Linked DNA regions of Elephas maximus indicus. The protein of the gene in region 1 purifies or fractionates together with the protein of each later gene. This does not show direct contact. Links are inferred from orthologs where the notes say so. Each region holds a gene or a part of one and is shown in the gene's direction. Other genes may lie near its edges. The genes, in order: LGALS3BP, CAD, SPRYD3 and FBXO45.

The links.
Region 2: the proteins of LGALS3BP (region 1) and CAD purify together in Homo sapiens (co-immunoprecipitation; 3 studies listed by BioGRID and IntAct, with this or other methods). This does not show direct contact. The link is inferred for Elephas maximus indicus from reciprocal best matches to the Homo sapiens genes LGALS3BP and CAD.
Region 3: the proteins of LGALS3BP (region 1) and SPRYD3 purify together in Homo sapiens (co-immunoprecipitation; 3 studies listed by BioGRID and IntAct, counting the BioPlex papers as one, with this or other methods). This does not show direct contact. The link is inferred for Elephas maximus indicus from reciprocal best matches to the Homo sapiens genes LGALS3BP and SPRYD3.
Region 4: the proteins of LGALS3BP (region 1) and FBXO45 purify together in Homo sapiens (co-immunoprecipitation; 3 studies listed by BioGRID and IntAct, counting the BioPlex papers as one, with this or other methods). This does not show direct contact. The link is inferred for Elephas maximus indicus from reciprocal best matches to the Homo sapiens genes LGALS3BP and FBXO45.

The regions. Positions count from the first base shown.
Region 1 is NC_064837.1:68,869,366-68,876,755, reverse strand, and holds the start of LGALS3BP (galectin-3-binding protein), read left to right. Parts: upstream 1-4,383; 5' UTR 4,384-4,510; intron 4,511-6,396; 5' UTR 6,397-6,418; coding exon 6,419-6,470; intron 6,471-7,159; coding exon 7,160-7,351; intron 7,352-7,390.
Region 2 is NC_064830.1:45,716,287-45,723,436, forward strand, and holds the start of CAD (CAD protein), read left to right. Parts: upstream 1-4,146; 5' UTR 4,147-4,297; coding exon 4,298-4,379; intron 4,380-4,620; coding exon 4,621-4,760; intron 4,761-6,663; coding exon 6,664-6,793; intron 6,794-7,150. Other genes in the region: ATRAID (all-trans retinoic acid-induced differentiation factor), read left to right, coding at 470-591, 2,453-2,524, 2,719-2,790, 2,894-3,015, 3,293-3,390, 3,599-3,703. UniProt on the Homo sapiens protein: Multifunctional protein that encodes the first 3 enzymatic activities of the de novo pyrimidine pathway: carbamoylphosphate synthetase (CPSase; EC 6.3.5.5), aspartate transcarbamylase (ATCase; EC 2.1.3.2) and dihydroorotase (DHOase; EC 3.5.2.3).
Region 3 is NC_064822.1:108,601,282-108,608,869, reverse strand, and holds the start of SPRYD3 (SPRY domain-containing protein 3), read left to right. Parts: upstream 1-4,576; 5' UTR 4,577-4,657; coding exon 4,658-4,680; intron 4,681-6,375; coding exon 6,376-6,522; intron 6,523-7,542; coding exon 7,543-7,588.
Region 4 is NC_064819.1:18,113,784-18,121,186, forward strand, and holds the start of FBXO45 (F-box/SPRY domain-containing protein 1), read left to right. Parts: upstream 1-4,397; 5' UTR 4,398-4,655; coding exon 4,656-4,967; intron 4,968-7,403. UniProt on the Homo sapiens protein: Component of E3 ubiquitin ligase complex consisting of FBXO45, MYCBP2 and SKP1. Functions in substrate recognition but also plays an important role in assembly of the complex.

The DNA.
Region 1 (7,390 bases):
GGGGCAGTTCTACTCTGTCCTACTCAGTTGCTATGAGTTGGAATCAACTCAATGGCAATGGGTAAAGAACTTATGCAACTCAATAATAAGGTACGCAACCCAATTCAAAAAAAATGTGTACAGGATTTATAGACACTTCACCAAAGAAGATACAATGTCCATGATACTTTCTGCGAAATAGGACATTATGTGATTTGGACGTTCAGCGAACACCATGTTATGGATGAAGGTCCTTTCGGGCATTCGCTTCCAGAATAAGGAGGTTTTATCCATATTAAAAATTTGCTGGGGCAGATAACCTCCCTCGGCAATTAGTTTATCCAAGGTTTCAACAAATTCTTCTGCCTCCTTCGCAGCAGCACCCACAGGCTTACCAACCATTTTCACATTATGCAGCAAAAAACTTCGAGGCACTTGAATCACCCAGAGGGAGCACTAAACCCACTATCGTAGTCTGGTCTTGGTTTTTCTTTAAGCATCTTGAACAAGCTTCGTGCCTTAGCAGTGACGGTCAATGTGCTGAGAGGGATTCCCTTTTGTGTTTAGGGACCGAGGTGTACCTGACCCAAGCCATGATATTTTCTACCACCTCATAGACACGCGAAAGCTGGACAATGAATAAGGAAGACTGAAGAACTGATGCATTTGAATTGTGGTGTTGGCGAACAATATTGATTATACCATGGGCTACTGGAAGAACCAACAAATCTGTCTTGGAAGAACTACAGCCAGAATGCTCATTAGAAGTGAGGATGGCGAGACTTCACCCAGCTTACTTTGGACATGTTATTGAAACAGGCTGCTCAGCCAGATCTTGAACAGTACCTGAGCCTATTTTTTTTCTCCTTCTTTCTTCTTTCTCTCCTTTCCCTCCCCTAGCGCATCCCTGCCTCCAAGTAAGATCCTGCTGTTAGCTCACCAAATGGTTAACCAATGTTTCCTCTAAGACTGTGGAAAGCAAGTGATATTGATCTAAGCCTGTCAAATAAGAAGGATGGCGTCAGCCACCGCCCCCCCGCCCAGCTGATGGGATAATGGCAGGAAAAGATCAACAGATTTGAGATAGGATCACTGAAACCAAACAGAAGAAAGAGAGTGCATATTCCACAAGTCCCTAAAACTTATGACCCCTTTCCCCTTAAAAACCCGAGCTGATCGGTAGTCTGGTGAGACAGATGACTTTAGGAGGAGATCATTCCCCCCGTCTCCATATACCGGTATATCTAATAAACCTCTTGCTACCCACCTCACCCGTCTCAAGAATTGGCTATTTGCCACAGGCGGCTCTAACTTGTGAAATTGCGGTAACGTTATCAGAAGGCACCAATCCCTAGAGAAATATATCATACTTGGTAGGTGGTCAACAAAAAAGAGGAAGACCCTCCACAGATGGATTCACACAGTAGCTGCCACAATGGGCTCAAAAACAGCAAAGATTGTGAGGATGGCACAGGACTGGGCAGCGTTTCCTTCTGTCGTACACAGAGTCACTATGACTTAGAATAGACTCCACCTGCATTGACTGCTAATGACATGGGTTGGTCCCCAATCCAGGTCACTAGCAATTTCTCCGTATCTGATGTGGGTCCGTCTCGTGTTTTCATTAGCCTGGTGTAGCTTTCAGTGGGTCCGATCCTTTAACAGCTTAGAGAATTTTTTCTTCTTGAGGATTGCTGTGACTGTGAGTGAAACATGCCTAAATCCGGTACGTCCTGTTCTCCAATACAGATTTCTAAACTCTGTTATAACCTATGGGACCACAGATGTTTATGGGGTCAGATGTTGCCCAAATGGACGTTATGTGGCACATGACTGTCTATGAGCGACAAATAAGCATTTGAAAAGACGCTTAACATCATTAGTCATTAAAACCACAGACAGACTCCTCTAGATAGCCACTAGAGTGGCGAAAATGAAAAGGACCGGAAGTACTGAGTGTTGGTGAGGGTTTGGAGTCACTGGAACGCTCCCGCTGCTGGTGGGAATGGCGGATGCTGCCATTGGAAAACAGTCTGGCCGTTTCTTCAAAAGTTAAATATACATTTACCATATTGTTACCCAAAGCAGGTGCTGCTCGGTGCGACTTCTCAATAAAGACACGCCGAGGTGAGGAGCAAGGAAGAGCGTCTATTGCAAGCATGCAAGCAAGGACCGAGGAGGTTATCCTGAAATCAAGCTCGCTGAGCGAAGACAGGCAGAACATTTTATACAGACTCTTGCAAGGAAGTACATGCAAACGTTATGGACAGCATAGGTTATCATGGCACCCAGGCACAATTAGACAAATTGCATTTTTTTCCTCTGTCATGTAGGCTAGTAAACTGGCTTTGACTGGCTTGAGCCGCACCCAGTGCTTGGAGTACAGTGGACAGGAGGGACGGGTTTCAGCTGAGCCACACCCAGCATCTGGCTATCTTGACATGATCCAGTAACCTGACTCTTAGGTATTTACAGGAAAGATATAAAACATGTTCACACAAAGGCTTGCATCCAATTGTTCATAACAACTTTGTTCATGATAGTAAAAAAATAGAAAAGACCCAAATATCCATCAATGAACAAATGCCTAAACAAACTGCGATCTACCCACGTGACGGACTACTACTTCGCAAAAAAAATGAACACATTACTGATATTCACAGCACCACGGAGGAATCTCAAAAGCATTCTGCTACAAAAGATTACATCCTGTATGGTTCCATTTATATGAAATTCTGGAGCCCTGGTGGCACAACGATTAAGCGCTTGGCTGCTAACTGTGACATCGGTGTTTGGAACCCACCCAGGGGCTCCGCGGGAGAAAAGACCTGGGAATATTCTCCCATCAAAATTACAGTTTAGGAAACCCTGGAGTGCAGTTCTGCTTTGTCACATGGGGTCGTAATGAGTCGGAATCAACAACGAGGACGACATAGTGGCAGTAAGCAGAGCAGTGGTCGCCAGGGGCGGGGGCTGGCGAAGGGGATTGACCGCAAAGGATTTTAGAAGAGAACTTTTGAGGACAATGGAAATGTTCTTTATCACAGTGGTGATCATGGTCGTCAACTGTAGGCTTTGTCAAAGCTGAATGGATGTACACTTAAACTCCATGCATTTTATTGTTACGTAAATTATGTCTCAATAAAGAAAAAATGTGTGTTTGAATCCCAGCACTTCTTCACCTTCCAGCTGTGTAACCTGGGGCAGAGTATGTAACCTCTCTGTGCCTCCACTTCCTTATCTATTGCAGGGATAAGAAGAGCAGCTGCTTCCCAGACTGGCTGGAAGGATTAAGTGAACTCATCCCGGTCAAAGGTTTGCAGTGGAGCCTGGCTCAATAGATACTGGAGTCCCTGGGTTCTGCAAGGAAACCCCGATGGTGCAGTGGTTAAGAGCTATGGCTGCTAACCAAAAGGTCGGCAGTACAAATGCACCAGGTGCTCCTTGGAAACCGTATGGGGGCAGTTCTACTCTGTCCCATAGGGTCCCTGTGAGTCGGAATCGACTTGATGGCAACGGGTTTTGGTTTTGGGTTGTGCAAACAGTTAACGCATTCAGCTGTTAACTGAAAGATTAGGGGTTCGAGTTCCCCCACACCCGGCCATCTGCTCCCAAAACATCAGCCACTGATGGAGCACAGGTCTACTCTGACGCACATGTGGTCGCCATGAGGAGGAGTTGACTCCTTGTCAACTGGTTACCGGTCAAATATTAGCTATTATAGTCAGCACTCCCGCGTTCGGTGAGACGGAGCAGAAGCAAAAAAAAAAAAAGTGTCTCCAACAGCACCCAGCCTTTCTCCAGCAGCGCCTTGGGAATGGCTTCCCTGCCAGATTAGCCTCCAATGGTACCACCTTTGGGCCCTGCTTTCTTGAGGCCTCAACAGTCTTCTTATCAGAACCGAGCCAGCCCTCTCCCTCCCCGTCTCCCTGAAGCTATCATCTCACACCGCCCCTCCCCTCCCCCTCCTTAAGCACTTCCTTTTGGGGGTCTCAGGAGGTTGGAAAACCTTTGAGAGCCCAGGGGAGCCGATATTGGTGCTGGTTCTGGGATACGGCCTTGGGACTTTAAATTCCGCCTGCCTGGACCCCGCTCTGTCTGTCCCTAAAGTCTCCCCCAGCCCCCCCACCACATCTGCTGCTGCCCCCTCCTTCCCTCCCCCAGCACAGTGCCTGGCACATTGGTCCAGCTTGGAAGGTTGTCTAAATTCCGAAATAGTCATCCCTGTCTGGCTCTGGGAGTTGCTGCAGGTTACCAATTCAGCCAGAATCCATCCTTGGACTGCTGCCATTCCCAGCACCCACACTGGAGCTGAGAAAAGGAAGGGGCCCCAGGGACTCTGCGTGGCAGCCAACCCCTGGAGAAACACAGGTCATGTGATTCCTAGAAATTGAAACTGAACAGTTTCCTGAAGCATTTCCTGACCACGCTCCACACAGGAGGGTTTTTGAGCCCGAGGACAGGCCCACAGCAGGCTCCTGCAGCGGGAAGGCACAAGGCTCCAGGACAGCCACAGGAGTTACCTGGGCAGGTAAGCACCTGTCTCTCCTTGCTCCCAGGTGGGCACCCTTCTCTCTACACAGTGGGGGCCAAGCATACTGTGTACACAGACCCGGGGCTAGGGGCAGGGTGCTGCTCCCAGAAGATCCGCAGGGCCACCCCATACAGTTGGGCAGACTGTTCACTGCACGAGGCACCAGCCAAGGGGGCAGTGGCAGGGTAGCCTCTCACAGTCTGCGTGCTACCCTGACCCACCCGCCCGCAGGAAGCGCACCTTTGCCTGGTTTGCAGGCAGGTGACTTCCCACCACGCATTCACCTAGGGCTTGATTGGCCATTTCCTCATGGCCCTGAGCTCCTGTCCAGGCTATCCTAGGAGCAGGGCGGGTGACCAGTTGTTCTGGTGTGCCCAGTCACCTGGCCCTTCAGCCGTCTTCTGAGAAGACTGCAGTGAATCGAGGTTTGCCTTACTCATTAGCCTGTTTCAGTGGCTTTGCTTAGAAGCTTGTTAGCTATAAGACGTTTCTTGGTCACGGTCAGGATTCTGTGAGCTTGTGCTTTGAGCAGGGCTGGCACAGGTCACCCCTCAAAGCTTCCTGTGCCCCCTGGGGGTCTTATAAATGCAGGCATCCATGCCACATGTTGCCTCCAAGGTCACCAGGCCCTGATCTTGTCTCCGTGCTCAGCAGTGCCACAGTGGCCTGGTCCTTGGCCTGGTCCTGGGCTTGCTGGACAGCAGAGAGCAGTGCTAGGGGGCATCCATGATTCTTGCTGGGCCAGAGGGACGGTGACCTGTCCGGCCCGTTCACATGCACAGGATGTGGGGTGGGGAAGCAGGTTAGGATGTAGCCGGGGGCGACAGGCTGCTGCCAATGATGGAACGATCAAGAGTGGAGAAGAACGTGGAGACCAAAAGCCTGGTCCTCCCCAACCTTGCCCCCGCTGGCTGAGTGGCCTGGTGGTTCCACATCCCCAAGCCTTGGCTTCATGAGACAGTAGGCCAGCTGACCTCAGGGGGTCAGCAGCACCATGTCCATGCCGAGCCTGCTCACCATACTCCCCAAACCAGGGGTGGGTTAGCCAGCAAGCGCAGTAGGCGCTGGTTTGCAGTAAGCGAGGCGTGCACGGGCTTAATTGTGCTCACAGACTAATCTATAGTGAACAATTTCACATGAGTTTCACCAAATCTTTGGCATGGTATAAACCAGGTGAAGCTGTTCACTACAGATTAGTCAGTAAGCACAATTAAGCCTGTGCGTGCCTTGCGATCCCCGCCCCTGCCCTGTGCCCCTGTCCTGGCTCCTAATTCGGCCCCCTCCCCCCCCACACTGCGACCCCTCCTCTCCATCACCCCCACCCAACACCACCAGCCCACACTCCTCGCTGCCAGTGTTTCAAGCCTGGACTTCTGGGGTGCCTCCCGACAGGCCCCCTGCTCTGCACGCTGCAGCCAGGGAACCTTTGTCCCCTCAGTCACTGTGGGCATGCCTGCGAGGGTCAGTCACCTTTGTACACAGCCCTGGTTTCTAATGAGACTCACCGGGCCCTCACCATCTGGGCCCTGCAGAGCCGCACCCCCTCCTCAGCCCTCCTCATCCAACACCACATGGCAGCCACACACAGGCCCAGCATTGGGAGATACCCGCTGCCTGGACCCTCCAGCCCCCCCTCTTCACCTGGCTGAGTCTTACTCAGCCTGAAGACCAGCCCTCAGTTGGGGTGAGGGCTCTGCTGGGTCCCCACCTTCCCTGCGTCTCTCATGCTCACTGCCTGCAGAGGGCCCTGGAGGAGCAGGACCCGCAGGCCTCTTGGCTCCTTCCTAGCCTGGCACCTGGGCCTCAGCAGGTCAGGGCTGCAGGGGGCATGGCCCTGCTCTGAGGACCGCCCCCCCCCACCACCGTGTCTTCCTCTGCCATAGGATCGAGGCTCCAGGTACTGCCATGGCACTCCCTGAGCTCCTCTGGATATGGCTGCTCGTCGCAGGGACCCACGGTGAGCTGAACCCCTGGGAAGACGGGAGAAAACATCAGTTAAGCAGCTCTTCCTCCATCTGAGGCTACACTCCCGCCCTTCAGAAAATGCCAGCAAAGATTCTGCTGGTGGCCTGGGTCTCCCCTCCTGCTCAAAACCCCAGTTGTCCCTGGTGATGGGGGCTTGTGGGTTCTGGGCAGGAGGCCTGGGCTCCCCATACTCTCCCAGCACCCCTGCGGCACCCTTCTTGTGGGCCATCATGCTGGTGTGGGGCCTCCAGGAAGAGGAAGGGGCTCCCAGTCTCCCTGTGTGACTGTCTCCAGGCCCAACTACAGACACCACAGAGAGGATCAGCCTGGGCACCCTTCCCTGCCCCTCTTCCTGCCACCTGGCCACCTCTTCTCCAAGTGCTGGGCACAAAGGGGGGACCCCAAACACAAGGCTAGCTTACCTCTGTGTTGGGGGGTCTGTGAGTATCTCCTGCTCCTCCCCAGTGGGTGACCTCCCCCGAGGACGGGCAGGGGACTTCAAAGTGGCAAAACCAGACCCCCAGCTCACTGGTCAGCAGTTCAGCCCTAGGTGGACAGAGCTGCCACCATGAAAGCACACGGCCCGAGAGCAGTGGGCAGCAGATGGGCCTAGGGTGGGGCCAGGTGCCCTCCCATCATCCTGTCTGATCTTTGCTCCCCTCTGCCCCCACGAGCCTGCAGGCCTGGAGGACGGCACCATGAGGCTGGTGAACGGGGACTCGGCTAATGAGGGCCGCGTGGAGGTCTTCTACAGAGGCCAGTGGGGGACCGTGTGTGATGACGGCTGGGACCTGGACGATGCCCACGTGGTCTGCCGCGCCCTGGGCTTCGAGAATGCCACCCAGGTTCTGAGCAATGCTGCATTCGGGCAAGGTAGGGCCTCTGCTTCCGGGTCCTCCAGAGCCAAGGCCG
Region 2 (7,150 bases), on another chromosome or scaffold:
CCTCACTCAGTTTTTGAAGAGCTTGAAGCTTGTCTTTTAACAGAGCAGTCTTGTGGCTCTTCTGTAAGCTGTGCGCGCACGAATGCAGTATTTCGTGCGTGGGCAGGACTTTACTTTCCGGAATGTTCGATGAGTTCATTGTGTACCTTCTTGTTCTTATACACCCGGTCAAACCGGAGCTGTCAGATTGAGAAGTCACTGGAGAGGGCATAATAAATATGGTCGAATACTGTTTTTCAAAGATGAAAGTATTTTCTTGGAGAGGGCTGGTAATGGAAGTGTTTGATGCGCTGCTTTGCCTCTAGGGAAAGAAAGATATCCCCTATCCAACCGGATAAAAGGTAGGACAAGAGCCACTTCCCCGCCCTTTGTTAGAGAAAAGGAGAGGTATATTGGCAGTTAACTCTGGATCGCCGTTCTGTTCTTGACTTTTCTTTCTGGGGTCCTAATAGGTTTCTCTCTTCTACAGATATGCATCCAGTGCCCAGGGAGTGTGCAAAATTTGTCCGAAGTGGCTCTGTTTTGTAAGCAGACCCCGAAGCTAATGTTGTATGCCCGCTGCTGCTTCAATCAGAAGGGCGCCATCTTGGGGTGAGGGAGAACACATCCTTGGATAGGGGAGGGCGGGGGAGTTTTCAGAACAGAGTCCACAAGGCTTGTTTGATAGACTTGGCATAACTATTCGTGCCTATATTGGCGGCACCTTTTAAACCATGATTCATTCTCATACTTTTAAATCTGTGTATCATTTTTGGCTAGGAAACAATCCTATAGTTTTTTCTGGTTAAAGCTGCATAAAAATCATAATTTTTACCTGTTTTTTAAAATTTTTTGATAAGCTGTTATGCTTCCGGTTTTGTTTTATTTATTATCAAGTCTTTGTATTATTCACTGAGTGTCTCCAGTTATTCTCCAAGACATTATGCTAATACAGTTTTCTTCCCCTTGTGATTAATTCGTGTTTGAGGCAAATTCCCCTCACTGTCCCTTATACTAGTTAGTCCCTCAGATTCACTCCTTGACCCTCCGCCCTTCTCCGTGTACACTCTGGAGAATCCACCTATTCTTATGGCTTCAGCTATAACCACCTCGTAGGTGTCTCCCAAAACTAGTTCTCTCAGTGTCCTTAACACCTCTCAGAGCTCCAGGTACGTATGGGTACTTCCAACTTATTATTAAACATTTCATCTGGAATGCTTCACCTTCACTTCGAACTTCCCCAAAACCAAATTTTTCCATTACCATTCTCTTGGTTTTAAGACCATATTTATAACTATTTTCTCAGGATAAAGTTCAAACCATGCATTAGACATTTGATACCTACCACAGACTGGTCACAATCCACCTTTCCTACATTATTTCCAATTATTTGTCCAGTCAAACCCCCAGTGAGGGTCTGGCTTCAGCCAGATTCACTTACAAAGGCATTCTACTTTTGTTTCTTTGTTGTTTTGGAGAGCCTCTCTCTTTACCTGGAATTACCTTCTTTCACCAAATTAGGACATAGCCATCCTTCAGTTTTAGCATTTTTTGTGAATGTTTCCCACTACTAAATCCCAGAGTAATAGTTTCTTTGACTTCCTCTAATACTTAGTGTCTGTACCACTCAAATTTATTTACACGCTGTACTGTTATTTCTTTCATATTGTAATTTAACGTTTATATTGTTTTTGGTGATTTTCTTGTTCCCCTACTAAATTGTAAGCTACTTGAAGGCTAAGATACTGAGTTAGACTTTATATGTGTGTGTATAAATATATATACTTTCCCAATGTTTTGCAATTAGTAGGCATACAGTACATATTTGTAGAATAAAGGAACGAAAAGTGATAGATATTGAAGACAAAATAATTGCAGCATGGGTCCGTAACGTCCAGGAGCTTATATCCAGCCTGTGATAGATAATGTACTTTGAGGAAATTTTCATTTATGTGACTTGCATCTTTTTTTTTTTTTTTATTCGAAAGCCCTTTTTGGATCTGAGACTCGTAATGCCATAATATGAGATCCACTAATCTAGACAAGGAATAAATTTCTTCTAATATGTGTACAGATGTGAATCCAATATGTGTACAGATGTGAACTGACAGGACATAGTACTTATTAGAACAGCATTGACCATTAGAACTTTCTGCAAAGATGGAAATGTTCCATATCTGTCTGCCCAATACAGTAGCCACTGACCACATGAGGTGTAGCCAGTGCCAGTGAGAGACTGAATTTTTAATTTAATTTTAATTAATTTAAATTTACATAGCTACATGTAGGTAGTGATGATTGTATTGGACAATGCAGGATTACAACATCTACCACAGCACCGAGTATGTGGCTCTCACACAGGCTGTTTTCAATTTATACTGATAACCTAAAAGGGAGTTGGGTATCAAATACAAACCTTGTCATGAATGAAGAAGAAGGACATACAGTTACATTGATTACTTTGTTTCCTCAGGCTGGATCTCCAAAACTGTTCTCTGAAGGACCCTGGTCCAAACTTCCCTCAGGCACATACTGCTATCATCATGTAAGTGGTTAGGTCCCCTCCCTCCCAGAAAATGACTATGGCAAAGGGTTGATGAGACAGTCTTTGGGGATGGACTCCTAAAAAGATGGATGAGTATTAATGTCTAAGTTTACTCTGGATTACCAGTCTAGGAAGATGTGTGAATGGAGATGGGTGCTGTCCTGAGCAGAATGCTAACAGTGTGTGCTTTGCAGAGACCTGCAAGCAAACCCCCTCAAGGATGACTTGGTTAACACCTTCCATGGCTTTACTCAGCTCCAGACTCTGTAAGTACAGGGTGTGGGGATTAGGGGAGAGAATAAGAGGAGTAGTGCTGTGAGCTCAGCGACTTTGGGTTGAATATATTATGACAACCTGTGTTGTCTTCAGGATACTGCCACAAAATGTCAGCTGTCCTGGAGGTATTAGTGCCTGGAATACTATCACCACTCACACAGACAAGCAAACCTGCCAAGGGCAAAGGAACCTTTGCAACAGCACTGGAAGCCCAGGTATGCTGTCTCATCTCTGCCCTTCTGGCAACTGCCTTTCCTCTCTTACTCATTTTAGATCAGAAAGACTAAAATTGCTTAGGTGCCTTTTGTTCAGAGTTCTGAGGCTCTAATTGGGAAAAAAAGTTTTAGAATATATTGTCATTATGTTCTGATTATCTATAGTGATGTTTACCACTGATCTACAAAGGATTGAGAGAACCTGAATTGAAGCAGATATTTAAGAAATTTATCTGATGAGATCCAGTGATGTTCTCTGTTTTTCTCTGGCTGCCAGAAATGTGTCCTGAGAATGGATCTTGTGCTCCTAATGGTCCAGGTCTCTTGCAGTGTCTTTGCGCTGATGGTTTCCATGGCTACAAGTGTATGCGCCAGGTGAGGAATGAGGCCTTAGAGAAAAAAGCATAGAGCAGAAACCTGTCTCAAAGAAGAGCCACAAGACCGGAAGCTAATGCACGTCACCCAGGGGAGCAAAGTTAGAATTGTCCTGAATGAGGGAACAAGTGTACTAACAGGGAACTAGGTGTTAGGCTGTAGCCTTCAGTGTAATGCTCAATGAGAGTTGTTGGACTGTTACTTACAGGGCTCGTTCTCACTAATTGTGTTCTTCGGGATTCTGGGATCCACCACGGTATCCATCTGCATTCTGCTGTGGGGGACCCAACGCCGAAAAGCCAAGTCTTCATGAACCACATGGGTCCCCCTAGTGACCTAGTTAAGGCGTCATCCAGGCCGAGGACGAGGTTGGAAGGAAGATGGAAAATTGCCCTATTCTCAAGTGTTGTGGACACCTTCTCCAGGGGTAGAGTACCAGTTCCCGTTTGTGTTGTTGACTATAATAAACACTTTTTTCCTTGTCATTGTCATGTGGTTTTTTGTTTGTTTGTTTTTAGGAAAAGTTGCCCTGCCTCAGTGTGTTTCTTGGTTGGGATGTAAGAGGCCGCTTTGGGGTAGTCAGTGTTTTCGGGTTTCCCTAGCCTTTGCAGGGGAGGAGGAGACCGCGGTCTCGCGGCGCAGAGCCACCGCGGCGCCGCTCCGGCCCCGCCCCGTGCGTGCCCGGCCCCGCCCCTCACGCCGCCGGCTCCCTGCGCCGCCGCAGACGCCCGGCCGCCGGCGCGCTAGGCTGCTGCGCGGACCACGCCCGCCTGTGCTCCGGCACCGGCGCGGTTAGCCACGTGGACCGATTCCCGGCGCGTCGTCTTCACGTGGTTCCAGCGCCGGCTGGGGCTTGCGGCGCTCCACCGCTTGTCCGTGCTCGGCCCTGCCTCTAAGCGCCGTTCCCATGGCGGCCCTGGTGTTGGAGGACGGGTCGGTCCTGCGGGGCCAGCCCTTTGGGGCCTCTGTTTCGACTGCCGGGGAAGTGGGTAAGCAAGCTTGGGCAGGCTGCCGACCTCATCCCACTCCGATCTCCGCACTGCCTTCCCTGCCCAGACCCCGCCATTTTCCCGCCTGCACACCCTCCCCGCGTTCTGCCGCCAGGTCCCCAGCCCTGCCCTTACCACCCGTCACGCCCATGGCAGCGTACCCTGACGGGGGCATCTCTTCGCCCGGGGCGGAGTTCTGGAGGGTACCCTGCGGAGCCCTCTCCCTGTCCCTTTTTTGCAGTGTTTCAGACCGGCATGGTGGGCTACCCCGAGGCCCTCACTGATCCTTCCTACAAAGCACAGATCTTAGTCCTGACATATCCTCTGATCGGCAACTATGGCATCCCCCCAGATGAAGTGGATGAGTTCGGTCTCAGCAAGGTAGCCATGCCCAATGCTTTCTCTACATTCTTTTTCAAATCAATAATTATTAGTGAAGTGAAGACATTGACACTCTGCCAGGCAACCTGGAGAGAACAAATATAAACACTGAAGTGATAAGTACTGAGGTGACTGTAGTTAAACTTGGGTTGGTAGATACTTTGAGAAGCTCAGCATGGTGGGAGCCTAGGAGGAGAGAGCTATCCCCTCTTTGTTAGGGGCACCAAGGCTATAGGCAAAGTCCAGAATATTGTGTATGTAGTGGAGACATAGGTCTCACAACAAACAACAGTGAAGACATGAATCAAGGAAAGTGGCAAAAAGTGTAGAAGAATAATGCAGAAGTAACGCAAAGATGGGTTAGATACAATAGGAATGAAGTCAAACCAACGTCTAATCTTGATCTGATAAGGACCCTTCGGAGCTTGTTTAACAAGAGTCACATGATGGGAGCAATGCTTCAGGATTGCATAGATTAGTGGAAGGGGGCTGGAAACCAAGATCACATCTTTTTCCAGAGACATTGGGTCCCAGTTCACCTACAGAACCAGTGAAAGTTGGTTACAATCTTCTAAACATACTTTCCTTACCTCATTTTCTACTTCTTTTCTGTAGTGTTCTTACCTCTAGGTAAGAAAGTTCAGTTTCCTCTTGAAGTTCAGTGAGGTTGCCACTATTCTTTCTCCTTTGGAATTGGAAACCAAGATGCCCTCTGAGTTAAAGTAGTAAAAAAACTAGCAATTGGGATAATAGTGGAAGTCAACATAGCAGTATTCCTTAAAACCCATTTTGTCCATGATTCCAGGCTTACTGAGCAACCGACCATTAGATTCTAGATTTGCCTTCCAGGTTACCCTGACGCTGGAAAGACTGGATAACGAACACTGTTATTCCTGGAAAGGCCCATTTGTTATCACAAACCTATAAATACATTGCACTCTTAACTTTTAATTCAATATTTTGTGAATTTGGTTAACATACATCAGCCTTCAGCTCTATCAGCTCTAGGCACACTGACAGAATTGAGTTTACAGACCTCTAAAATTGTGGCCCTGGCTAGACCAGAGAGATTGAGACCTTCCGCAACCACCAACCCAACGCCAATGCCCTTGTAGCACATGTGTTGTAAATGTACTTGCCCATGCCAGGTGGACTTCGCTTGTCAGGGAGGGCTGTTTTTACTCATCTGCCAAACTCTATCCTTCAGATTCCTAAAGAACAGTCTCGACATCCATCTTCCCTTAAACCTTTTACCATTTAGCAGAATGGAATTTAAATATGCCACTACTTCCCAAATAAACTACTGGTTTCTCCATTTAGTTACTAAATGCTTGTTGATCAGTTAACAAATTCGTATTCTCTTCTTTTTTTAATTAGTCCTTTTGGAGTGGAGAGGTATAATCACTTACAGTATTGTAACTTGAGCCTTCGCTTTTATTTAGTAATGTATCGAGCACCTACCTATCTTAGCACCTTGTTTGTATAACCTGTGTAATTATTGTTAGTTTACATGTCGACTTGTTAATTTTCTGCTCGTACGAAGGAAATAAACATCATGAAGACTGGACCCTATCTTTTCTTGCTCACTGCTCTATCAGCATCTGTTACAATGCCTGGCACCTAGTGAAGACTCAAAATGTTTGTTGACTGATGCTATGTGTCAGGCACCTTGCTCTTGAGTTCACGGTTCTGTGACAAAGACACACTCCATGTGTTAATGTTTAATGTGGGGGATGGTATTGTTGGTAAAGGGAGCTGTGAAGTGCTGGGTGGTGGTGAAGATGATACAGTGTAACTGAAATAGAGGGCCCATGGCCACGTAATGGGAGAAGATGGGTAAAAGTGACAGAGGGAGATATTTGGCCTTGAGCTGCTCCTCACAGTCTCCTCCTTCCATCTACAGTGGTTTGAATCCTCAGAGATCCACGTGGCAGGACTGGTGGTAGGAGAGTGCTGCCCCACGCCCAGCCACTGGAGTGCCACCTGCACTCTGCATGAGTGGCTGCAGGAACATGGCATACCTGGCCTGCAAGGTATGATGGCAAGCACACGTGTGTCTCGGCGGAGCACAGTATGCCTGGATGGAAAGGATCAAGATAAGGTTTCCTAGACTCCAGTCCAAGCTTGTGATAGAATATGCCCGATCTAAAATTTTTTTTTTAGAAGGGTTAGATTGCTTTCTGGGGCCAGAGAAGCTATCACTTAGGTGGAAGATTTCAAACATAAAAGGAGAGAATAGTATAATAATCAAGTCTTGGTTAATCTTATTTCATCATCACCATTACCACTCCCTGATTATTTTGAAGCAAATTTCAGACTTTGTATCATTTCATCCACCAATAGTTCATCTATCTCTGAAAGACAAGGAGTCTTCTTTTTAAAAACATGAC
Region 3 (7,588 bases), on another chromosome or scaffold:
ATTTATACCAAGGAAATGGCTCATGCAATTGTAGAGGCTAGAATGTCCCAAGTCTATGGGTCAGGATAGAGGATTCTCCTGATTCACATAGCTGCAGGGGCTGGCAAACCCAAGATCGGCTGGTCAAACAGCAGGGCTCTTGATCACAGGCTATGAAGATCCAAGAATCCCAAGATCAGCAGGCAAGACAGCAGGTAAGCTGCTAGTTCAAGTCCTAAGAACTGGAGGTCAGATGAGCAAGCAAGAGCCAGCTGTAGGATCCAGAGCAAGCAAAAGCCCACAAGTCTTGCCAGAAAGTCTATTATATATTCAATGCAGGCCACATCCCCAAGGAAATTCCATTTCAACTGATTGGCTACTTATAGCAGATCCCATCATGGAGGTAATCAGATTATATGAAATCTCATCATGGAAGTGATCACATCATCATATGACTGCCAAACTACATCATAACTGCCAAACCACTGAGAATCATGGCCCAGACACATAAGCTTAATGATCACAGAACTCATGTACTATTATTGCAAGTCAAAAATTATTTAAAAATAAAAGCTAAAAAGAAAAAAAAGGAATCACAGACCTAAATGTAAAACCATAAAACTTCTAGAAGAGAACACAGCAGAAAATCTTTGAGATCACAGGTGAGGCAAAGATTTCTTAAATACATTACCAAATAATGATACAATATCAAAAATCAACAAATCAAACATCTTCACGATTAAGAACTTTCTTTGAAAGACACTTAAGAAAATGCAAAGACAAGCCACAGACTGGAAGAAAACATTTGTAAATCACATATCTGATAAAGGACTTGAATCTAGAAAACATAAAGAAGTCTCAAAATTCAATATTAAGAAACAACCCAATTCTAAATGGGCAAACAATTTGGACAGACACTGTCTTGGATTATGTCCCCCCAAAAATGTGTGTATCAACTTGGTTAGGTCATGATTCCCAGTACTCTGTGGTTGTCCTCCATTTTGTGACTGTAATTTTATGTTAAAGAGGATTAGGGTGGGATTGTAACACCACCTTTACCCAGGTCACATCCCTGATCCAATGTAAAGAGAGTTTCCCTGGGGTGTGGCCTGCACCACCTTTTATCTCTCAAGAGATAATAAGGAGAAAGAAGCAAGCAGAGTTTGTGACTTCATACCACCAAGAAAACAGCACCGGGAGCACAGCGCATCCTTTGGACCTGAGGTTCCTGTGCTGAGATGCTCCCAGACCAAGGGAAGACTGATGACAAGGACCTAACTCCAGAGCAGACAGAAAGGGAGAAAAAGCCTTCCTCTGGAGCCTGTGCCCTGAATTCGGACTTCTAGCCTACTGGACTGTGAGAGCATAAACTTGTCTTTGTTAAAGCCATTCACTTGTGGTATTTCTGTTACAGCAGCACTAGATGACTAAGACAGACACTTCACCAAAGAAGATAGATGGATGGCAAACGAGCATGTGAAAAGATGCTCAACATCATTAGTCACCAGGGAAGGACAAATTAAAACCTCAATGAAACACCACTACATGACTATTAAAAATGGCTAAAATTAAAAAGAGTGACCATACCAAGTGTTGGTTAGGATGTAAAACAACTGCAACTTTCATACACTGCTGATGGGAATGCAAAATGATATACCACTTCAGATACACCACTTCAGAGAACAGTGTCTTAGGCTGGATTCTCTAGGGAATCAAAACCAGTGAAGCATATATGTATGTGTATATGTATATATGCATATATACATATACACATATATATATTGGCATCCTGGTGGCACAGTGGTTAAGAGCATGGTTGCCAACCAAAATGTTGGCAGTTTGAATCCACTAGCTGCTCCTTGGAAACCCTATGGGGCAATTCTACTCTGTCCTATAGTGTTGCTAGGAGTCGGAACGGACTCAACGGCACATAACAACAACATAGAGAGAGAGAAAAAGAGATTTTTCTCAAGAAAATGGCTGACATAGTTGCAGAAGCTGGCAAGTCCCAAGTCTGTGGATCAGGTATCAGGCTGGAGGCTTCTGACTCACATAGCTGCAGGGGCTGACAAACCCAAGATCAGCAGTTCAGGTGGCAGGCTGCTGGCTCACAGGCTGTAAATCTCAAGATCAGTAGGCATTACAGCAGGCCACTGGCTCAAGTCCCAAGAACCAGAGATCAGATGATAATAAACTGGTTACAGGATCCAAAGCAAGGAAAAGCTGGCGAGCCTTGCCGGAATGTCCATATATATTGGATGCAGGCCACACCCCTGCGGAAACTCCCCCTACAACTGATTGGCTGATCACATCAGAGCACATCCTAGAGGTGATTACATTATATCACAGAATGGAGGATAACTACATCATTACATAACTCCCAGATGCATCATTACATAACTGCCAAGGTACATCATTACACAACTGCCAAACTGCATTATTACATAATTGCTAAATGAAAATCATGGCCCAGCCAAATTGATACTCGATCTTAACTCTTACAGGCATAAGGCGTAACCAAAGTAGGCGTATATTTACCATGTGACCCAGCCATTTCACTCCTAGGTACGTACCCAAGAGAAAATGAAATATATGTCTATGCAAAGACTTGTACATTAATATTCATAGCCAAAAATTGGAAACAGCCAACTGTCCATTGACAGGTGAATAGATGAACTGTGGTATATTCAAACAGTGGCATACTATTGTTTCAATGAACTATTGAAACAAACAACAACATGGATGAATTTCAAAATAATTATGCAAGTAACAGAAGCCAGAAGACTCCCCCCACCAAAAAACACTAAGTACATACTACTTGAGTCCATTTATATAAGATCATAGAAAATACAAACTGCACTAGAGGGAGAAAGCAAATTAGTGGTTTCCTGAGGGTGGGAGGGTACGAGGAAAATGAGGAAACTTTTGGGAGCGATGGTATATTCACTATCTTGATTGTGGAGACGTTTTCATGGGTGCGTACATAACATTAAATTTTATACCTTAAATATGTACAGTCTATTTTATGTCAATTATATTTCAACAAAGCTGTTTAATCAAATACATGTAGATGCTAAGTACAAATTACAGTTACGGTCCTGAGAATGCCAATGGATCAAGGGTTCACCAGAAGGCCTGCCCTAATACACCTGGAACTTGAGGATGAGGAAATCTCAAGTGGAATCACCAGCTATCAATAACACTTTGGTGTCTCTCTCTGTCTCAGCTGGTAGCCAGCTCACTAGCTTCTGGAAGGACTCAGAAGATCCGTTGTAGAATGGACATAACTCTGGGAGCCACCCTGGTCAGTTCCTCTCCGGCTGCGATTGGGAGGAGCCAGGTTGAGGCTCAGTGTATTTTCATAGCTCAGGAAGAAGAGGTGGAAGAGAGAAACAATAAAGGAATGGAACCAGAAGAAGCTGGAGATGAGTTGAAAAGGGTAACTATTCAGAACTATGTAATCGAAGGGCTGGAAAGGAGTCAAAAGAACACATACTTCAATAATTCTTTATAGATGAGAACACCAAGACCGTGAACTTTCTGTCACACAGAATTGGGGCTCTAATCCAGGTTTCCCTATTTCCTCTACACTCACTTCCATTAGGCCAAGCAGTTCATGTACAGGAGATGATGGCTTCCCTTTCATTCAACGTTTTTACAGTACTAGGTATAGAACAGGCCCCGGAGTCTGAAGGAGTTCATAGCCCAGCAGAGAAACAGGTCTACATACACAGGTGACTTTAGTAATAAAAGACTGTAATAAGTGCTATAAATGAAGTGCATATGACATGGTATGGGACTACAGAGGAAGGGATATTCTTTCTACCCAGAAAAGAGATTCAGTGATCAGGAAAATCAGGGACCTCCTCATTCCAGGAGTCCAAACTCCCCAGAATGGCAATAAATACACTTTAGTAGGTGCTCAATAAATGCTAGCATCCTTCCTCCTGCAGCCTGACTCAGTCTAGCTTTCCTTTAGCCTCACCTAAACCCCTGTTCCTGAACGCGGTACTTCATGCCACTGTGCTTTTGCTTGAGATGTTCCCTCCTCTTGGAATACAATGTCCTTCCCGGAGTGAACTGTTGACCTGTGACATGAAATGGACTTCAGAGAGCTAGGAAGAATATAAAACATATGGTAATATCTAAAGGCACAGGCTGTGGAAACTTAATTCCTCTGAGCCTCAGGCTCCTCATCTTAAAAACGAGATAATAATAAAGTTTATTTCATAAGGTTTCTGAGTGGATTAAAAGGACACTCCTATGGCTTTTAGCATCACGCCTGGCACGGAATGAGCACTTAAGAAACATTCGCAATATTTTTACGTGCGTAGCGACCTTCTCCACCTGCCCCGCCCAGTGCAGGAGCCGCCCCTTGGCCGCCCCCTTGGCCCCAGGGCACCCAGCGCAGCATCCACACTGCCACGTCGCCACCTACTACCCTCTCTACACCCGGCTTTACTAGACCCTACCCGGCGAAGTACCCGGGTTCACCGGGCCGCGCCCCAGACCTGCCTGGGTGCTCCGATTGGTTTCTTCAGATGCTTGTCGTCATAGGCCGCTTACGATTGGCGCGGGTGGGAGGGGGCGGGTCTCGGAAGCTCAGGAAGGGCGGGAACCCGGATGTGTGTGGTGGCGGCGGCCGAAGAGCTAGTGTGCGGAGCTGAGAGGCCTATGGATGAGGAGGACGCGGAGGCCCCGGTAGGCGGGGATCGGGGGGGCGGGGTCCCGGCGGCCTCGGGTCTCCCAGGAGCCCCAAGCAGGAGGAGGGGGTCCTGGGCGGGGGCTCCGGGGGCAGGGGCGGGGTGTTGCGATCTGGTTTCTGGGCTTCCTCCCTCCGGCACTCCCGGCCCCATGCAGGGCCTGGGGAGACTGGGCGTAGTCACATTGACGAATCGGAGCCCCGTGGCCCCCGAGTCTTGTGTGAATGACCAAGCTGTTTCGGGGTGGAGGCAGGGCCCAGTGCGGCCGTCACTCGCTGGTGCCAAGACTGTGGGGTTCTGGGCAACCATATGCTTCTAGGTCTGGGGCGCCAGCGTCTACCAGAGGTCAAGCCCTGGCCGAGCGCCCTGGAGGGGAGTCCTGGGGCTGCCTCACTGGTGCCCGCCCTTCAGGGCTACGTGGTGGGTGTGGGTTGTAGCTGCAACAGAAGGATGGTAACGTCCACACTGGGATTCAGTTCAGCTCACCCGATGCTTACCAAGCACCTTCTGTGTGGATGGCACTGTCAAACCTTGATGGGACCCTCGCTCCAGGAGTTTTGGGATGGGAAGAAAAAAATTACCTCATCTTTCTCTAACTTTTGACTCCCGGAGAAGATTTATTCATTCACTCACGTGTTGGCACTGCTGGTTGTTTAATACCCCATTTAAATACCACTTCTCTCTGTCTTCATTGCCGACATCTTAGTGGATGCCATCCCTCCTCTGAGCTGCCGCAAGGACCTCCTAATTGCTCACCCACTTCTGCTCTTGTTCCCCTTATGGTCAGCTCTCCAAGCACTGGCATGAATGAGCTTTTTAAAAACATGAACAAGATTATATTATGTCATCACTCAAAACCCTCCGAAGGTTTTCCCATCACACTTGGAGTAAAATCCAAACTCCTTATGGATCTGTAGGGCAATGATATGCCCCCAGTCTTCCTCTTAGACCTCTTGTCCCATATTCCCTGTGCACCAGCGACTCTGGACTTCTGTTTTTCTAACATGCCCTCCCACCCCAACATCAGTGCTCTGGCTGTCTCTCTGCCTGGAATACTCTTGCTCAGGCTTGTTACATGCCTGGTTCTTTTTTATCTCAACTCCAGTGTCACCTCTCAAAGAGGCTTTCTGTCTCTACGCTATCCAAAGTAGCTCCCTGTTATTCTCGATCACATCACCTTGGTTTTTTCTCCACTGTTTAAAATTGTCATGTCTGTTTACTGTCTGTCATACTTCCCTCCTCACTCCCTACCCCCTAGAACGGAAGCCCTGAGAGTACAGGATTCCATCCATCTTGTTCGGAGCTGTAGCCTCAGTACCTACACGGATTGCTGTTGAGTCGATTCTGATTCATAGTGACCCTGTAGGACAGAGTAGAGCTGCCCCACAGGGTTTCCAAGGCTGTAGTCTTTACAGAAGCAGACTGCCACATCATTCTCCCGAGGTGTGGCTGGTGAGTTCGAACCCCTGCAGCCAAGCACTTAAGCACTGTGCTGCCAGTACCTAGAGCAGTGCATAGAGTAAGAACTTAGTAAATGTTTGTTGAATGAAAGGATGAGGGTGGGGATTGTTGAGGTGCTCAGTCTGTGGAACTGGCTCCAAGCCCAGTGCTCTCCCCACATTCTGGGTTGAGCAGGCTGAGGTGCTTAGCTCAGAGCCCTGCTTCCTCCTCAATCCGCTTACCCCTCTGGCAGGTTTGTTCTCATGAACAAGATGGATGACCTCAACCTGCACTACCGGTTTCTGAATTGGCGCCGCCGGATCCGGGAGATTCGGGAGGTCCGGGCTTTCCGGTATCAGGAGAGGTTCAAGCACATCCTTGTAGATGGAGACACTTTGAGGTGAGTTTAGGGGAATGTGTCCACGTTTTTCTTTCTGTGCCACATCTGAGAGATGCTAAGGCTCTTTCAGAGGGAGGGGACTGTCTACACTACACTGGGAGAGAGAATGCTGTTGACTCCAGAGGCCTTTCTGAGTGGAGCAGCGTGTTCTGCTTTACCCTGAACTTTCCTCTACCTGGGTCCACCTCTGTCCTGGTTTGGCAAAGGTCTGTCATTGTGCAGTGGAAGCTATCCTGTCAGAATTAGGAGGCTGTTGGGGTCTGAGGTAGGAGTTCCCCCAAGTGCCTTGTTGAGTGGACTCCATGGGTCTGTGAGGTGTTTCAGTCTCCTTTTGCCTATGTCTTGGGTTAGATTTGGTGAAGAGTGGCCATTGTGAAGGCAGTGGGTTTCCTGTTTTGGGATGGACAGTGCTGTGATGCATTCTACCCACTGCCTGCCATGTTTCCCAGCCCTTTCGTTTGTGTTTGTTTCATCTCTCTTTCTGGCTCAAACCTCTCCCCTGATGCTTTCTGAGCCTTAGTTCTCCCACAAAATTGCCACTGAGAGGGGAAGAAAGTAGTGTTACTTAGCCTGGAGACAAGAAAGCTGAGGAGTGGGGAGTGAATAACTGTCTTCCAATCTATGAAGGGCTTTGGTACAGAGGATAGAGACCAGCCGTTCTCCAGCTCCACTGAGGACAGAGCCAGAGGAAAAGGGCCGAAGCTGCAGCGTGAGGGATTGAGGTTAGACAGGGTTGTGAGACCCCTAATAGGTACCTAAGGGAAGCTCTGCGTACTTTTCCCTCTGGAAATGAAGGAGAAACCAGGCTTGCATTGATTTGGTGTGGGCTGGACTCTGGCTGGAGGCAGCGGGAGGGGTGGGGTGACCTCTGAAGCATCTTGTTATGGTGTCTGCTGAACCGAGGCCTTCTGGATTCTCCTCTGTGCTGCTTCTCACAGGGTGGGGCTTGGGGATGCTGAGGCCCTCCCCCTAGGTCCTGGGCTAGGCTGCTAATGAAACTCCTCCCTATTCCTCCTGCAGTTACCATGGAAACTCAGGTGAAGTTGGCTGCTATGTGGCTTCTCGA
Region 4 (7,403 bases), on another chromosome or scaffold:
TTTCTAACAGCTTCACTTGACAACTGCTTTGTTAGTATTCTTTGATGAGGCAGCCCTGGTGGTGCAGTGGTTAAGTGCTCAGCTGCTAACCAAAAGGATGGCGATTTGAACACACCAGCTGTTCCGAGGGAGGAAGATTTGGCAATCTGCTTTCATTCTGTGAAGACCACAGCCTCAGAAACTCTATGGGGCAGTTCTACTCTGTCCTATAGTGTTGCTATGAGTTGGAATACACGGAATTGACCAAAAGCTACTGATCATTCATAACTGCTTTTAAATGTACTCATATATTTTCAATCCCATTATAATTTACCTGCACTTACACAACGGTAGTACTTACGTGCAAAATTTATATTCCTGATCCTAGGCATCCCAGATCCATAAACTAAGAATTGCCACATAGTACGACTCTGCCTTAACTGCCTGTTAGGCAAGGCAAAAAAGAAATCAGGGCAATTTATCCACTTCTAATGGTCAGATGAAAGGAAGCAAACCAGCCTATCTGGACGAATTTGATTTTTCATTTCACAAGCCAAGGGAGGAGTTGCTAGTGAAGAGCTGCCATAGTTACTTCACTATTTTCAGACATGATATTTGACTTTAGTCCAGTCGTACAGAGATAAATTTCCTAACGTTGTTTTAAAAATTCGTTTAAAACGATTTGGCAATCTGCCTGAAGTTTCCATTCCCAAGACAAAGTTGCCCGTTGCCTCCCATTTGCAGTCATACCAAAAAAATTTCTATCATTATACTCCAAAAACTCACTCAGGTGTTAGTAATCAAGGTAACAGAAACATGGTCACAAAATCAGATAAAGCCATTCTCATAATGACAACAAAATGGAAAGACAAAAATATACTTTTATTTCAGCAGAAATATTCAATTAGCACACAGAGGAAACTAATTCAGTAGAGGCTGATGTAAGTAAGACTTAAAGGAAAGGCTTGAAGAGGAAATGACTCAGAGAGAGGTAAAGACAGGGAACCCTAGTGGTTTGATTTTTGCTGACAAGTACTGAAAGCGTAGATAATTTTCTGCCCTAGCACAGGCTCTTGCCCACTGCTCCAGATACACCAAGAAAAAAGGATGCTTAAATAACAGGTACAGATATTACTATAGAGGCTTAGGGACTATCATCTGTGGTAACCACTGATTTACCCTATGATAAAGACAATAACTTTATCTTGAAATATGAAATCTGAATGTAACTATTAAAAAAGCCATTTACATCACAAATAATTTTGTTTAACCCTTAGGGTGTTGATCACTTCTTTCCTTAAGTTGCAGTTCTAATTTTGCTACGATGAATCAAGTTTAAAGTCTAAAGGCATGTACTCTACAGCTTTAAGATTTGCTGAGTTTTACGTGCACACAGGTTTTGGATCCTAAGTTGGGATTTTAGCTTTTCTGAGGCCAAGAATGAGTTAGGGTTTCTAGTACTTCTATTTCTCCATCATACATCAACCCACAGGGATCCAAGTAAATCTAAGTAAATGTTGACTGGCAAACAGTTTTAGCAGATTTTCTTCCTCATATAAATCTTTTCTGGAAAGTTTTAACTCAATTTTAAAGGTAAATCGATTTTGTACTTAAAGGAACTATTATAAGCAACAATGCAGTTCCTATAAATTTTTCCATAATGGAACCTGTAGTAACTCTCGGTCTGTTAATCTCACAAAATCCAAGGACAGTTGTACCTTAAACTTTATGTACCAGCATAAAAAACAAATTAAACCTCTAATCTCTAAATCACATGGGTAATATTTACTGATCACCTAGCTGGTCAGAAAAAATAGAGACCTATTATCGGAGATGCTAAGAAAAAGAGCTGGGAAAGCCCCAGAAATCTACCCACCCTGTGAGGCTGTTCAGTTAACTGACATTCACCGTGCAGTGTACTGATCGATGATTAAACCAGAGCCTCCAAAATCATGTATTTACTTAATCTACAAGATTATTATTTGCAACACACCCAAAGACCACCATCAAAAAAGTGTTAAAGACTGCTGTGCGGAGTGGAAAAAATGTAATTCAATCTGGGTTAAATCAAAACAACCTTTCAAAAACAAGGTGTCAAGCTATTTTTCCTGTTTTTCTGTTACTGGGACTGGAAAGTCTACCAGAAATAGGTAAGTGTTACCATCCCCACATATCAAGCCAACAAGCATCTCTTCTCATATGTAACCCATAACCATAACCCACTGCCATTGAGTTGATTCCAACTCATAGCAAACCTAAAGGACTGAGTATAACTGCCCCATAACTTCCAAGGAGTGTCTGGTGGATCTGAACTGCTGACCTTTTGGTTAGCAGCTGTAGCTCTTAACCAATAAGGCACCAGGGTTTCCCTTCTCATATGTAGATACCTTAAAGGAAGGTCAAGCACAGGAATTAATTCTATTGAGCTTCTTTAATTAGATCATAGATCCCTCCCTTCCAACACCTAATGAGACCACAGAGTGGGTGGTGAAAAGGTGGGGTAATTTGGGAGCATTTTTAGAAAGGGTGGGGTGCTGCTATAGCTAGCAGTTCTTTCCAGCCAGAGGGCAGACTGAGGGTAGTGAACACGGGGTAGAGGTAGCATTGGGGAAGGGTGATGACTGAGTAAAAGATATGTAAAGAAACAAGGGGGTAGGGATAAAGGCAATCTTTTCCTACTCTGAAATTCTACGTTTGCCACTTGGGGAGTAATCTGCCACCGAAAGTCACCTTAATGACTGAACTAGATTACCTCATCAGGTCCTTCAAAAGCTCTACAACACCTGTACTGTGACAGACAGAATAAAGGCCAACATCTTTAATAACTGAATGATCTCTAACTACTTTGCTCCAGTCATATCTCCATGTACCCACTTGTCCTTTTAAAGGGTCTCTGTCTTTAAAGATGTTCATTCTGCCTGGTCCTTTGCCCCCATCTCAGATGGACCAACTCTACTTATCCTTGAAGATTAAAAAAAAAAAAAAAAATTGCTGTCTTTCCAGACAAAACCAGGTCCTCCTTCCTTAAGTGTCCCATGGTGAATGAATAATAACTGAAACCTCCTGAGGTTATAATTCATTGAATTCATTGAATACATTCAATTAACATAATCTGAGAGTCAGCATTACTATAATCAGTATAGTTCAAGTTTTCCCCAGGTTTGGGTTTTCAAAATTGGTCTTGTGGAGAAGCTGGATTGCAACCAAAATGATGGAGGGGCTGTGACATTGGTATTGGTAAGAATGGATAGAATCTGGGTTACTGAGCTTGTAGAAAGAAAAAGACACCTGGGAGGAAGGAGCCAGCGATAGTTAAACACTATATATCACAGAACAGAAAGGCAGTTGTTCTTGTTTTTGCTAGAGAACATGGATTACACACAACAGGAGTTTCAGGAAAAATTCTTACTACGTAACAGTTGCAAGATACTGGAGTTGACTATTAAGGCAATCTGTGAACCCTATTATTATAATAATTACTTAACCTCATACAGCTGTTTCAAGAATTATATAAAAATCCCCGAAAAGGACCTAGTGTAGTGTTTGGCTCACACTGTGGCACAAATGATGGTTATTACCTCTCTACTGTTTTTTAAAGACTATGAGAAAAACTTCTTGGGCCACCTAGGAAGATGTAGTATGACCAAATAATGCTGAAATTCCTTCCCTTCCATGAAGCCATCTATAATTATAGCCTCCACATCTCTCTCCCTTTTGGAATACTTAATTCAACAAAAACATTGCCTTAATATGCCTACGAAGCGGTGGATCTGGGAATGACTGCATTTTGGCCAAAAGAATGTCATAACTAGCGCTTAAACAGCACTTTATGGTTTTCAAAACGTTGGGGGTTGGGCGGTTTAGAGACGTGGCCACCTTATTCTCCAAATATACGATGGGATACAAATTCTGATAAGTACAGACACTTAGAGAGACAAGAGAGCCTGACCAGGAAAAGACGGCCTCAGCTACCGAAGGCAAAGAATGAGGCTCCAACTGAAGACGAAATTGGAAGACCCAGGACTTGCTCAGCAAGAAAAGGAGAGAAAAGTTCCTAGCGTTAGGTTGGGGTTCGAAGCAGGAACCTGACACAGGGAAACCTCACAGGAAAAGGGGCCAACGACAGCCGATGCGAGGCCGCTAGGACAAAAAGAGGAAAAGGCACTGGAGTGCACCCAGGAACCCACCGCCGCCAGCCTCATACCTGCTCTTCCCGCTTGCCTCCTCGGCGCCTCGTGATGACCTCACCCGCGGGCGCCCAATCCGAACAAGCGTAGGGCACGAGGCGCCTCAGCCAAACAGTCACATCCGGGGCCAAAAGGAACCGCGAGAGAGCTGGGCGTGCGCCCTTGCTTCGTGCCCTCAACCGGCATGGCGGAGCTGCGGGCGCGCCGCGGGGAGGCCACGCGAGTCGGGCGGTTCCGGCGCCCGCCCTGAGCCTCGGGAGCGGGGGAGGGGCGGGGACGCCCGTGCAGCCGGCGCGTCTGCCCTCAGTGAGGCGGGGCGCGCGGCGGGCGCCCCCGGGCAGGGGCGGGAGTGGTGGAGGTGCTGGGCGGTAGGCTGTGAAAGGGGCGGTGAGCAAGCTGCTCCGGTCTCAAGGCGAGGCTTGGCCTCCAGAGCAGAGACGGGGGAACGCGGCGGCGGCGGCAGCGGCCTTCGGGCCGGCTGGTGAGGCGATGGCGGCGCCGACCCCGGGAGCTGGAGGAGCCTCGGGCGGCGCTGGCTGTAGCGGCGCGGGCGCCGGCGCGGGCTCGGGATCCGGGTCTGCGGGGGCCGGGGGCCGGCTGCCCAGCCGGGTGTTGGAGTTGGTGTTTTCCTACCTGGAGCTGTCCGAACTGCGGAGCTGCGCTCTGGTGTGCAAGCACTGGTACCGCTGCCTGCACGGCGATGAAAACAGCGAGGTGTGGCGGAGCCTGTGCGCCCGCAGCCTGGCCGAAGAGGCTCTGCGCACGGACATCCTCTGCAACCTGCCCAGCTACAAGGCCAAGGTGAGGGAGCCCCGGGCCACGCCGCTGCCCTCCGTCCCGCTCCTCCGCGCCGCTCTCAGTGCTTCGCATCTGAGCGTCTGACTCAGACGCTCGCCTCCCCATCCCGCCTTTCCTTGGCTCCAGTCAAGACCTTACCTCACCTCTCTCCTCCACTCCCCTCCACAAAGATCTCTTCTCTTTGGATTGCTGTGCACAGTATTAAGTTCTGCTCCTTAACCCTCCCCACTTCCGTGATCCAGTCTAAGGACCAGATGGTTTCCCATCCCTGGCTTCCATTACTCATGTTACTTTCGACAGTCCCAGTAATAAAGACCGACCACTCCCATTGTTGTACCTTTTAATACTGTCATCCCGTTTTTCTTCCTGCCCGACAGATAAACAGATAGACGCTATTAAATCATTTCAGTTGCCTTATTTTCTCTCTTAATATCGGCTTAGTCTCTCAGATCATTGCTTTCAGCTCACTATTATTTATAACAATTTTTTCTTTATTTCCGCCCGTTTTCGTTAATTCTCTCCACTATGTTTCAGGCTTACAAATGAGTTCCTAGGCGACCTGCTAACTTTCAAGATATAGGCATTTATAGAACATCGTCCCATCAGTGCCACTTACTGTCATAATAGTTGCCTTTTCCCAGTATTATTGGCTGCCTCCTTGCCAACTTTTTCATAGTCTCCACCTTGATGGTATGTCTCTTCTGTTCCATTTGTCATCAAACGTGGTGTTTCCAGTTTTGCTTCTTTTTTTTTTCCCCCTCTTAGATTCTTGTGCATGTTCCTGCCTCTCTTCATATACAAAATAAAAATGTCAAGTAACAGGTTGTGGTAGGGGGTGAGAAAATTCTCCAGGCCATATAAACAAAGGACTCCAGGCTTGGGTTCAGTTGGACCCATAACAGCTCTCCAGTATAGTATTCACCAAGAGCATTTCTGAAAGGGGATAAAGCCTGTGACTTTGAATATGGTAAACATACAGAATACATTAATAACTGAAAAGAGAAGTTGCTTTTCAGTGCCAGTGGGGGTCAGAGTAAGAAGTAAAAAAAACCTTCATGAGAAATAGATGTAAAATTCACTTTTTCGTAATAAAAACAGATTTTAGTTTAATACAATAACGAACATTGCTGTTAAATGTTAACTCGAGCTGTATTTATATTAAACGAAATAACATGTTAATTTCTTAGGACGATACTTGTGCATGGTACATGCTCAGTGTTTGCTAGTTGTAATTTTTATGGCGGCGTGCAGAAGACTACAGTTTCGCCCTACTTTGCCTGATAAACGTGGGTTTCATGGATTTTATTTACTTTCTGTTTTTCCGTTGCATCTACTGGTTTTAAGAAATTTGAAAAAAATTTATCATAGATAATATGTTCACATGATTCAGGATGTAAAATGATATACAGGAAAATGCCTTCCTTTCACCCTTGTCCCTCAGCTGCCCAGTTCCCCTCCTTAGAGGCAACCTGTGTTACCAATTTTATGTATATCCTTCCAGCATAGTTTAGGTTTCTGAAGTTTGTTGTTTTTTGGTTTCTGAAGTTTCTAATACTTGCCACATTGTTGTTGTTAGGTGCCATTGTGTTGATTTTGACTCATAGTGATCCCATGTGACAGAGTAGAACTGCCCCCATAGGGTTTTCTAGGCTCTAATTTTTACGGGAGCAGATCACGAGATCTTTCTCCCGAGGATCCAGTGGGTGGGTTTGAACAGCCAGCCTTTGAGTTAGCAGCTGAGCACTTAACTGTTGCACCACCAGGGCTCCTGTAGGCATTGTAGACTTATACTCATGACATGTTCATTCAGCTGTTGCAGGGCATTTTGCTTGACTATCTTGAGGATACAAAGATTAAATCAAAATGAGTCACATAGTCAAATAGGTTGAGCCTTTCGTCTAGTAGAGGAGGAAAAAATGTATAGAAATTGCTCCTTACTGTTAAAATCAGTTGCCGTTGATTCAGTTTTGACTCATAACGACTTCACGTATTACAGAGTAGAGCTGTGCTCCATAGGGTTTTCAAGGCTGTGACCTTTTAGGGACAGATTGCCAGGCCTTTCTGCCAGGGTGCCTCTGCGTGGAAACTTTTGGTTAGCAGTCAAGCACTTAACCGTTTGTAGCACCTAGAGACTCCTTCCTTACTGTTAATCCAAACTAAACTGACCCTATCAGACAGAGTAGAACTGTCCACTAGGGTTTGCAAGGCTGTGATCTCTATGGAAGCAGACTGCCACATCTTTCTCCCACAGAGTGGCTGGTCCATATGTACTGCTGACCTTTTTGGTTAGTAGCTGAGTGCTCAACTGCTGCACCACCAGGGCGCGTTCCTTACTGTTAAAAAAAAAAAAAACAGTTGCCGTTGAGTTGATTCCAGCTCATAGCAACCCTACAGGGCAGAGTAGAACTGCACAATAGGGTTTCCAAGGAGTGGCTGGTA